Saccharomyces cerevisiae S288C: one gene and its partners. Changing the gene in region 1 together with any one later gene gives a genetic interaction. Each region holds a gene or a part of one and is shown in the gene's direction. Other genes may lie near its edges.

Region 1 (3,758 bases):
AAGCCCAACCGATTTTTTTTCTCATTCATAACCCCGACGTGTTTTCCATGTATTCAGACAATGCTAATGTTAAAGGTGGAATATCAGCCAATTTATGTAGAACCAGTGGCCTGATGCGTTGACAAAATGCGGAACCAGCACCATCATCCGTGTCGTTGGATAAAAGGCACAAAAACGTACAGGCCACTTTAGAAACATCTGAGAGTTCTTGAGGGAATTTGACCTCTGGTATGCTGTTTTGTCTTGCAGGTGTAATTTCCTTAGAGTCATTCAAAAATTTGGATTTTAGTGCCGAAATGGGTACCTGGGATTCTCTTTCCCCGTCTGCAATACCCAAAGCTTTAAATCTTGGTTGAATGCCCTTGATAACAAACCTTTTCTTGCCGGTTACCGGGTCAGTGATTACGATAGCAGCGGCGTTATTGAAAGCATTCGAGACATTCTTGATGAATTCCACGGCAGGTAACAATTTGCGTCCGGATTCGCGAACAGGCTGACCAAATTTGGATTCGTAGGATCTCCAAAGCGATATTTGTGTAAATTCTGCTTCTTGTACAGGCTCAAAGCAACATCTCAACCAAGCGGTTGACCTCAAGGGCTCGTTAAGTTTGAAAAGTTGTTGAAACAGATCCTCAGATAAATTGGGAGGCTCCTTTGGAGCGGGAGGCTTCAACCTTTTAATCAACCTAATTTTGTGCTTTTGCAAAAGATGGTAATCTGGTGTGGCGATATTATATGATAATAAATTAGGCAGCGTGGCTTCCAGTATCAAAGAGCACTCCTTACTCTTGAATAACTCAGTGATTCTTTGAGAACCGGGCAAAATGTATTGATAGAGGAAATCCAACGAAGCAATAATCAGCTCACTATCGCATTCTAACAGTAAAAAGGAAACGATCAACGAAAGAGTCTTATGGTCCAAATTGTCCGCTGCACTTTCCTCGTTAGCTTTGGACCTAACCAGTAATCTTGAAAGAGACCTCAATATAGAAATAACCATGTATCTGTCCTTAGTGTAGTTCAAGATGGACACCAGCGTTTGGAAATAATGATCATCCTTCATTGCAGGAGCAATATAGGACGAAATGGCCTCCATCAAGTCCAGAGTATAATGGGTCAACTCGTTAAAAAAAGTTGCATTTCCTTCGTACAATTGCCACTTGTTATCGCCTGTAGCGACGCACTGAAACTTCTTCAAAATGAAAAGAATGAAAGATTTGATTTCTCGATCCTTGACTAGTATCTGCACCGAATCAGTATCTTGAGCCAGATTCCTTAGGATCAGCAAGGCATTTAGACCCATTTGTAGAGAATCCATCGCCTTTGAATCACATATAGACGATTTGTTAAGACCTTCCACGATGCGCTCCAAAGGCAATATGAAAGTCTTGAAAAGTGGCAACAGGTCCGGCAATGTCCGTAAGCTGATCATATATGGCGCCTTGTTACTATACGTAAGATATTTTTTTAAAGACCACTTAATCTCCTCCGGTATCCCACTCAGTAACGCCATCTCCATCCTCGTCAAATCGTCTACACCTCTGGCCGTTTCCTTGGGTAGCGACTGGAACACATTAAAATTGGCCAGCGAATAGTGGATGGACTTAGTATTGGCTGCAGGTCCCGTCAGAACTCCATTAGACTGTAATCGAGACACTTTAATAGGGTTAGCCACCATTGTCTCGAACATGTTCACAGGCTCGGAGCTTGTGGCGGGTGCCTCGCTTACTGGAGTACCATTTAGCGGTGTGTTTGAAGCTAACGAGTTCATCTTCAATCTTTATTTCCACTTCTTTACAAGCTTTCTGCCTTTCTCTATGACGTCTTTCCCAAAACACTACCTCTTGACACGACTTGTTGTTTTCGTTTTTCTCTAAGAATATCACTATTTTCACTTTTTTCACCTTTTCCACCATTACGTCGGTAAGCAACAGCATTACGCCGGCCTCACCTTAGAGGGGAAGAATAAGGGATCTTTGGAACTGAAGGAAAATAAGGGAGAGGGAGGAAACAAGGAGGCGGTGAAAGGGGATCGACAGGGTATTTAAAGCCACTCATGGAGTCGTATTCCTAGCATGATTAGATTACCGGAGTTTAGAAGAGGATCTGCAATAGAAGAGGAGACAACTACAAAAGAACTGTTAATTAAGAGAAGAAGATGAAGCAATTCAAGTTGGTTAATGCGGTTTCCGCATCATTTGTGCTTATTGGCTTAGTGTTGGCCAATTCAGATTCAGTGTTCGACAAGTGGACGCAGGAAGACCTGGCCGATTATTTACGTGATAATAAGAAGAGCTTGGAAAAGTACGCTACAGACTCCATTGAGGACTTGAAAACGGAGGCATCGCAGGTATGGGACAAACACGCGCAGCCCAAACCATGGTGGCAGGTGTGGTCTAGTGACAGCAGTAGCGTGAGCAACAGTAACCCCGGATGGTTTGGTTATACTGGTTCTTCGGATCACCCAGTTTCTGACTGGCTCTTTGACACCTGGTCCACAGACAGTCTACGTAACTTCTTGAAGAAAAACGGCGTGGATGTTGACGACGCTAAGGCTTCCAAGGACTCGCTGGTGAAGACTGCTAAGGAGAACTTCAACAAGATTTCCAAATCTTTGAAGTCGTCGGGATACTATCCTTCTAGCTCTTACTTTGATAGCTGGTCAACCAAAGATTTGCAAAACTGGTTGAATGACAATGGTATCGACTACGACAAGGCAGTTCAAAGCAAGGACGAGCTAGTTCAGAAAGTCAAGGAAAACATCTACCGAACTTCAGAAAAGGCAGAACAGCAGCGTCTGGGTTTGCTAGAAAGCTTGGATTTGGCTCACCAACAAATATTAGACACATCGGGACAAATAAAAGACACTGTATTTGACAAGTGGTCTAGTGATCAGTTAACCAATTGGTTGGAGAGCCACAAGGTCAATATTGACAAGAACATGGCCAAGAAACACGACTATTTGGTTAGAATGGCCAAAGAAAATTCTGCCAATTTGAAAGATGATATCTACTGGTACCTGGACTATATGAAAAGAGAGTCTTCTCCATTTTTGACCAAGACCCCAGAATACGTTGGTTCCGTTTGGGACTCTTCTAAAAATTTCCTCACAAATTTGTACTCCAAGTTCAGAGGTAAGACTGACAATGTGATCAATGATACTTTTTTGGTTGGCCTAGACTCTTGGCCAAAGGACAAATTGAAAATGTTTTTAGATGCTCGTGGTATTAAGTACTCAATGCTGTCTACTGAACATCAATTGAGAGAATTAGTCAAAAAATCCAGAAACGAAAAACTCAAGATCCTGCCAAAAGACTACCAAAAATACTTTGACAACAGTAACTGGTCTTTGGATGACATAAAGGGTTGGTTTGCTGACAAAAAGGACGACTTCCAAGATTCTCAGACTTACTCCACAATTATGCAGGATTTTGACAAGGTTTCCAAAAACACAAATGATGCTAAGGACCAAATCGCTAAGACCTGGTCAAATACCTTTCAGAGCTGGTCTCAAGAAGACCTATTGCAGTACCTAAAATCATTCGGTGTTCCGGTTAAACAGACTTCTACGAAGGACGACTTAATCAACTTGGCCAAGCAGAATACGCAATGGTTGTTCGGCACTGTTAAGGAGCCTGCTTACAAGAGGTACCTACATAACGTTAAAAACTGGTCGAAAAGCATATTAGGGTTCAACTAATGATTGGGGTGTCAACGTAATGTACTTTTCTCCCCAATTTTTCTTTTCATCCGTATAT
Region 2 (3,758 bases), on another chromosome or scaffold:
ACAAAATACACGACAAAGCTCTACTCATGATCGCACAATTACCGATAATCAACGAATCGATCTCGAATCAACGACTGTAGAAAGTACTAGGGAGACTGGGGGTTGTAACTGCTAAACTGCAAGCAAAACAACAGCAAACGCGGCATATTCAGCGTCTTAGCGAAGCTTGCCATTGAAAAGAACAGTTCGTAACAACAGCTGGAAGAATAGTACTGGAAATTTTCAATTACTTTTGCAAAACAAGCACTTTTTTGTTTCACTTCCATTAGCCGCAAGAAATACACTTTTTTTAGGGGCGGGAATTTTCATCGCCAGATCGAGAATCACAAGGCCTTTACGTACTATAGTTTGTAATTTATACAAAATCAGCTACTGTTATTTTGGTGTACCAGCGGCAAAAATTGGTGAGGATCTGAAAATTAATTAGAGGTGAACACATATCAGTAATTTTGACTATGGACGAGAATGAATTTGATAATCAAAGGGAGAATAAAGCTGTAGCTCGAGTGATCATATCATTTCTTAAGTATGAAGAGTATGCCCTAAAGGAAATCTACAATTTGAGAGTGAAAAAATGGGCATCGATCTCAGATCGTCAAAAAGACATGGTACCAAACTATACAAAATATTTAGCTAATCTGAAAGCCGCAATTATAGAAAATGGCAAGTTCTTTAGAAGTGTCGCCGAATATGCCCTGCAATCAATAAGTTTTGAGCCAGGAGAAATCGTACAACCAAACGATTTAGATATGAGTAAAACATGCTCTTTACTTACGCAAGTTTATAGGGAGTGGTCCGCAGAGGCCATTTCTGAACGTAATTGCTTAAATTCGAGGCTTGTACCGTTTTTGAAGACCCTATCACCCCCAAAAGCCGACATTTTGATACCGGGTTGCGGCACAGGACGCCTTCTCGTGGATCTTAGCAGAATGGGCTATAATTGTGAAGGTAACGAATTTTCATATCACATGCTGCTTGTATCTCAATACATGTTGAATGCAGGATTACTCCAAAACCAAATTATTATCTATCCCTTCATACACTGTTTCTCCCACTGGAAAAAAATTGAAGATCAGTTGTCTCCCATTAAGGTGCCGGACATAGAAGCGTGGTCTTCAAATAAAGGTATGGGGTCCATGTCGATATGTGCTGGCTCGTTTGTTGATTGTTATGGTCGTAATCAAGGCACAAAAATCTCGTCACATTATACATTTTCGCGAAGGATGCAACTAAGTAGAGCAAAAGCTGAAAACTCCAAAGACGTTGTAGTAACAAACTTTTTTATAGATACGGGATCCAACATCTTGGATTATTTGGATACTATTGGCCACGTCTTGAAGCCAGGCGGAATCTGGTGCAATTTCGGCCCATTGCTTTATCATTTTGAAAATGACCATGGGGTTGAAACTACCTACGAAGTTAACCCTTACTCTGGGTTTCAAGATAAAATCAATGACTATACACCACTGATGGGTTTAGAGCTTTCTAGCGATGATATCATAAGCATTGCCACAAATCATCTGGACTTTGAATTAATACGGAGAGAGTCAGGAATACTTTGTGGGTATGGCCGCTACGCGGGTCCAGAAAGTTGCGCCATGCCTGGATACATGTGCCACTATTGGATCCTGAAGTCGAACCCCACCAATGAATCATAAGCTTACACAATAATCTAATTGCACTATATAGAAGTTGCTGACACAGCCGTTTTAGAGAACTCAGAATGTTACCCGCGCGGAAAATTCTTTTTGCTCCCTCTCGCTATGTTCTGTTTACCATATTGACAGTACTGGTTATCAGCCTAGATCCAGTAATACATAAAGCCCTCAATTTGAACTATATATCAAAGCTAGAAGAAGAGTGATTTGTCATAATTGATTCACTTTATAAGCTCCTTTATCGTTTCAGTTTCCAGGTGCATTTATCGCTTAAGGCCATTACTTTCAACAATAAGCAATCTTTATAAGTGAAAAATTGGGGAAATTGCCAAAGATGCCCCCAAACTCCAAGAGTAAGAGAAGAAAGAACAAATCCAAGCAACACAACAAGAAAAATGGCAACTCTGATCCTGAACAAAGTATAAATCCTACACAGCTAGTACCTCGAATGGAGCCAGAGTTGTATCATACAGAATCGGATTACCCAACTTCAAGAGTAATAAAAAGAGCGCCCAATGGCGATGTCATCGTGGAACCAATAAATACAGACGATGATAAGAAAGAACGTACGGCGAACTTGACTCATAATAAGGATAGTATGGATTCTGCTTCTTCCTTAGCTTTTACTCTAGATTCTCACTGGGAATCATTATCGCCAGAAGAAAAGAAAACTATTCTACGAATCGAAAAGGAGGAAGTATTTAATGTCATAAGGAATTACCAGGACGATCATAGTTGTAGTTGCTCTGTTTGTGGACGCCGCCATTTAGCAATGGATCAAGAAATGGAGCGTATATACAATACACTTTATGCCATGGATAAGGATAAAGACCCTGAAACCAATCCTATCAAATTCCACTTAGGCATAATAAAGGAGCTACAGATTTCCAAAAATCAACAGCAAAATGATTTATCTTCTACAAAGGGCGAAGTTGTAAAAAATTTCCTTTCGTCAAGTACAGTTGGCTCTTTGAAAGAGGAAGTGCTGCATTTCAAACAAAAGCAACTTTCAAAACAAGAACAAGCGCATAATGAAACGGCGGATAATACCTCATTACTTGAAGAAAATTTGAACAATATACACATCAACAAAACTTCTAGTGAAATTTCCGCAAATTTCAATTCTGTGAGCGATGAAGAGTTGCAACAAAAATATTCCAACTTCACAAAAACGTTTATTTCATCACATCCCAAAATAGCAGAGGAGTATGTACAAAAAATGATGATGTATCCGAATATTAGAGCACTGACTGATGACTTAATGAATAGTAACGGGCAAGGATTTCTTAATGCAATCGAAGACTTTGTGCGAGATGGCCAGATACAAGCATCGAAAAAAGACGACAGCATCACTGAAGATGAAGCATCTAGTACAGATTTGACTGATCCAAAGGAGTTTACCACAATGCTGCATAGTGGAAAACCACTTACAGAAGATGAGTATGCCGACCTCCAGCGCAACATTGCTGAAAGGATGACTAATGCGTACGATACCGCAAGTAAGAAATTCAAAGATGTGTCACAATTAGAGAAGGAGCTATTTACACGATTCATGTCGGGGAGAGACAAAAAATCTTTCAGAGAGTTGATAATTCAATCCTTTAAAAATAAATTTGATGGGGAATTAGGTCCATCCGTTCTAGCAGCCACTTTAAGCTCGTGCTTTTCATCTCAATCGAAGGATACTTCGTTAGATACTGATTCTATATATGAAGATGAAGATGAGGAAGACTATGATGACTATTCAGAATATGCTGAAGATAGCGAAGAGGTTTCTGAGTATGAAGGAATAGAGGCAGTCGAAAAACCAGAGCATGATGAAAAAAGCAACGGGATACGTGAAACATTACATTTAAGTTATGACCACGATCATAAACGACAGAACCACCCTCACCATCACTACCATAGTACCAGTACCCACAGCGAAGATGAACTGAGTGAAGAAGAGTATATTTCCGATATAGAATTACCGCATGATCCTCATAAGCACTTTCACCGCGATGATGATATATTAGATGGGGATGAAGATGAGCCAGAGGAAGAGGATGAAAATGAAGGCGATGACGAAGAAGATACTTATGACAGCGGTCTTGATGAAAC
Region 3 (3,758 bases), on another chromosome or scaffold:
AAAAAGGCGATGACATGATATATAAGGCTCTCTCGTAAGACACTTAACTATCCAACGTTCATTAGATTATTCGGTCAATTTCTTTTTTCATGCCCCTCCTTTTTCTTTTCTTTTCTTGACTCGTCGTTTCTTTTTCTTTTTTTTTTTTTTTTTTTTCTTCAGAACTATAACACATAGATACACTCGAACATCTAATTGTTTAAATACTGCAAAGAATACAAGGTAATCGACTCTTCTACATACCCTTTTTGCAGATTTGAAATAAAAAAAACATTATATGTTTAGCTTATCGAACTCTCAATACACCTGCCAAGACTACATATCTGACCACATCTGGAAAACTAGCTCCCACTAATTTCATTGCTTAATAATCAGAAATTCTATCACAAACCACTCCTAAAAATATTTCAAATGTCCTCCGCTGCAACAAAAGCTACTTTCTGTATCCAAAATGGTCCTTCCTTTGAAGGTATATCTTTTGGTGCAAACAAATCTGTTGCTGGTGAAACAGTTTTCACTACTTCTCTGGTTGGTTACCCAGAGTCCATGACTGATCCTTCCTACCGTGGTCAGATATTAGTCTTCACGCAACCCTTGATTGGTAACTACGGTGTCCCATCCGGCGAAGCCCGCGATGAATACAATTTACTGAAGTATTTTGAATCTCCGCATATACATGTGGTCGGCATCGTTGTCGCTGAATATGCTTATCAATATTCGCATTGGACCGCTGTTGAATCTCTGGCACAATGGTGTCAGAGAGAAGGTGTTGCTGCTATTACTGGCGTAGACACCCGTGAACTAGTGCAATACTTGAGGGAACAAGGTTCTTCTTTGGGCCGTATTACGTTGGCTGATCATGACCCTGTCCCCTACGTGAATCCCATGAAAACTAACTTGGTTGCTCAAGTCACCACAAAAAAGCCTTTCCACGTCTCTGCCTTACCTGGGAAGGCTAAGGCAAATGTGGCTCTTATTGACTGTGGTGTTAAAGAAAACATTATCAGATGCCTAGTCAAAAGAGGTGCCAATGTAACTGTTTTCCCCTATGATTACAGAATTCAAGATGTTGCTTCTGAATTCGACGGTATTTTCTTATCCAATGGACCAGGCAACCCAGAACTATGCCAAGCTACAATTTCCAACGTCAGGGAATTACTAAATAACCCTGTTTATGACTGTATCCCTATTTTTGGGATTTGTCTAGGCCATCAACTCTTGGCTCTGGCCTCCGGTGCCTCTACTCACAAATTGAAATATGGTAATAGGGCTCACAACATCCCTGCCATGGATTTGACTACCGGCCAGTGCCACATTACATCTCAAAATCATGGCTATGCAGTTGATCCTGAGACCCTACCAAAGGACCAATGGAAACCTTATTTTGTTAATTTAAACGACAAATCAAACGAAGGCATGATACACCTTCAAAGACCCATATTTTCTACCCAATTTCACCCAGAGGCAAAAGGTGGTCCCTTAGACACAGCTATTCTTTTTGACAAATTCTTCGATAATATAGAAAAATACCAATTACAATCTCAGGCAAAAAGTTCAATCTCACTAAAAGTAACATACAGTACCGATAAATCGAGATTGCAGAGTATAAATGTTACTAAGTTGGCCAAGGAAAGAGTGTTGTTCTAAAAACAAAATTTATACATTACGTAACACATACGTACATCTAAATACGATTCAATTCAGTTCATGGTATTTTGCGCTACTCGTCGTTGCTTAGTATCTACTCGCAGTTGTCATAATTAACGGGCGCTTCTTGTAATTAAATGAACAAAAAAACGTAACGTACGTACAATGGCTCTAATTTCATCCTGCCATCCTAAAAAAAAAATCAAATAAAGCAGACTCAAAAATTTTCAGCTTCAGTTAAATTTTGATAAGTATATTTGCATAACTCAAGGAGTTTGTGCAAACGGTTTTCTTTCTTTGTGGTTTGTTTTATTTACTTTCCAATAATACCCGTCTTGTTGGTTTAAGTCGTAACAAAAGGAAAACTTACAATCAGATCATGACGACCCAGCAAGAGGAGCAACGAAGTGATACCAAGAATAGCAAAAGCGAGTCACCTTCAGAAGTTTTAGTCGATACTCTCGACTCAAAGTCAAATGGCAGTAGTGATGATGATAATATCGGACAAAGTGAAGAGCTATCAGATAAAGAAATATATACAGTAGAAGATAGACCACCAGAATATTGGGCTCAAAGAAAGAAAAAATTCGTACTTGATGTAGATCCAAAATACGCCAAGCAAAAGGACAAGTCCGATACGTACAAAAGATTCAAATATTTATTAGGCGTCACAGACCTTTTCCGTCATTTTATTGGAATTAAGGCAAAACATGATAAAAATATTCAAAAACTCTTAAAACAGTTAGATTCTGATGCAAACAAACTTTCCAAATCACACAGCACCGTCAGTTCGTCATCACGTCACCATAGAAAAACAGAAAAGGAGGAAGATGCTGAATTAATGGCTGATGAGGAAGAAGAGATTGTAGATACATATCAGGAAGACATATTCGTCTCAGAATCTCCCTCCTTCGTCAAGTCAGGAAAATTAAGAGACTATCAAGTTCAAGGCTTAAACTGGTTAATATCGTTGCACGAAAACAAACTATCTGGTATCTTGGCCGATGAAATGGGGCTGGGTAAAACCTTACAAACAATTTCATTCCTAGGTTATTTGAGATACGTCAAACAAATCGAGGGACCCTTTCTAATAATAGTACCGAAGTCAACACTAGATAATTGGAGACGAGAGTTTCTTAAATGGACTCCAAACGTCAATGTCCTTGTGTTACATGGTGATAAAGACACAAGAGCTGATATAGTACGGAATATAATATTAGAAGCTAGATTTGATGTATTGATTACATCTTATGAAATGGTCATTAGAGAAAAGAATGCTTTGAAAAGATTAGCTTGGCAATATATTGTTATTGATGAGGCTCACAGGATCAAAAATGAACAAAGCGCGTTATCTCAAATAATTAGATTATTTTACTCTAAGAATAGATTATTGATTACGGGCACGCCTCTACAAAACAATCTACACGAATTATGGGCCCTGCTAAATTTCTTATTACCTGATATATTTGGAGATTCTGAACTTTTTGATGAATGGTTCGAACAAAACAATTCGGAACAAGATCAAGAAATTGTAATCCAACAGCTACACTCAGTACTAAACCCCTTTTTACTGAGAAGAGTCAAAGCGGATGTCGAAAAATCTTTGCTACCTAAAATCGAAACGAATGTTTACGTGGGGATGACAGACATGCAAATACAATGGTATAAATCATTATTAGAGAAGGATATAGACGCTGTTAACGGTGCTGTTGGAAAAAGAGAAGGCAAAACGAGGTTACTGAATATTGTTATGCAATTAAGGAAATGCTGTAATCATCCATATCTTTTTGAAGGCGCAGAACCTGGACCTCCATACACTACCGATGAACATTTGATTTTCAATTCCGGGAAAATGATTATATTAGATAAGTTACTGAAAAGACTGAAGGAAAAGGGATCTAGAGTATTGATTTTCAGTCAAATGTCGAGACTATTGGATATCTTAGAAGATTATTGCTATTTTAGAGATTTTGAATATTGCAGAATCGACGGTTCTACTAGCCATGAAGAACGTATAGAAGCTATCGATGAGTATAATAAACCTAATTCTGAAAAGTTCGTTTTTTTGCTAACAACACGTGCCGGTGGTTTAGGTATTAACCTTGTCACAG

Evidence for each region.
Region 2: mutations in MSC1 (region 1) and NST1 together harm fitness less than expected from each alone (positive genetic interaction), as found in Saccharomyces cerevisiae (2 studies listed by BioGRID).
Region 3: mutations in MSC1 (region 1) and ISW2 together harm fitness less than expected from each alone (positive genetic interaction), as found in Saccharomyces cerevisiae (2 studies listed by BioGRID).

What each region holds. Positions count from the first base shown.
Region 1 is NC_001145.3:15,077-18,834, reverse strand, and holds MSC1 (double-strand break repair enhancer MSC1), read left to right. Parts: upstream 1-2,158; coding exon 2,159-3,700; downstream 3,701-3,758. Other genes in the region: RSC9 (Rsc9p), read right to left, coding at 26-1,771.
Region 2 is NC_001146.8:450,416-454,173, forward strand, and holds the start of NST1 (Nst1p), read left to right. Parts: upstream 1-1,992; coding exon 1,993-3,758. Other genes in the region: Rab family GTPase YPT53, read left to right, coding at 1-115; YNL092W (S-adenosylmethionine-dependent methyltransferase), read left to right, coding at 456-1,658. UniProt on the Saccharomyces cerevisiae protein: With MSL1, acts as a negative regulator of salt tolerance.
Region 3 is NC_001147.6:882,488-886,245, forward strand, and holds the start of ISW2 (DNA translocase), read left to right. Parts: upstream 1-2,026; coding exon 2,027-3,758. Other genes in the region: YOR302W (uncharacterized protein), read left to right, coding at 278-355; carbamoyl-phosphate synthase (glutamine-hydrolyzing) CPA1, read left to right, coding at 412-1,647. UniProt on the Saccharomyces cerevisiae protein: Catalytic component of the ISW2 complex, which acts in remodeling the chromatin by catalyzing an ATP-dependent alteration in the structure of nucleosomal DNA.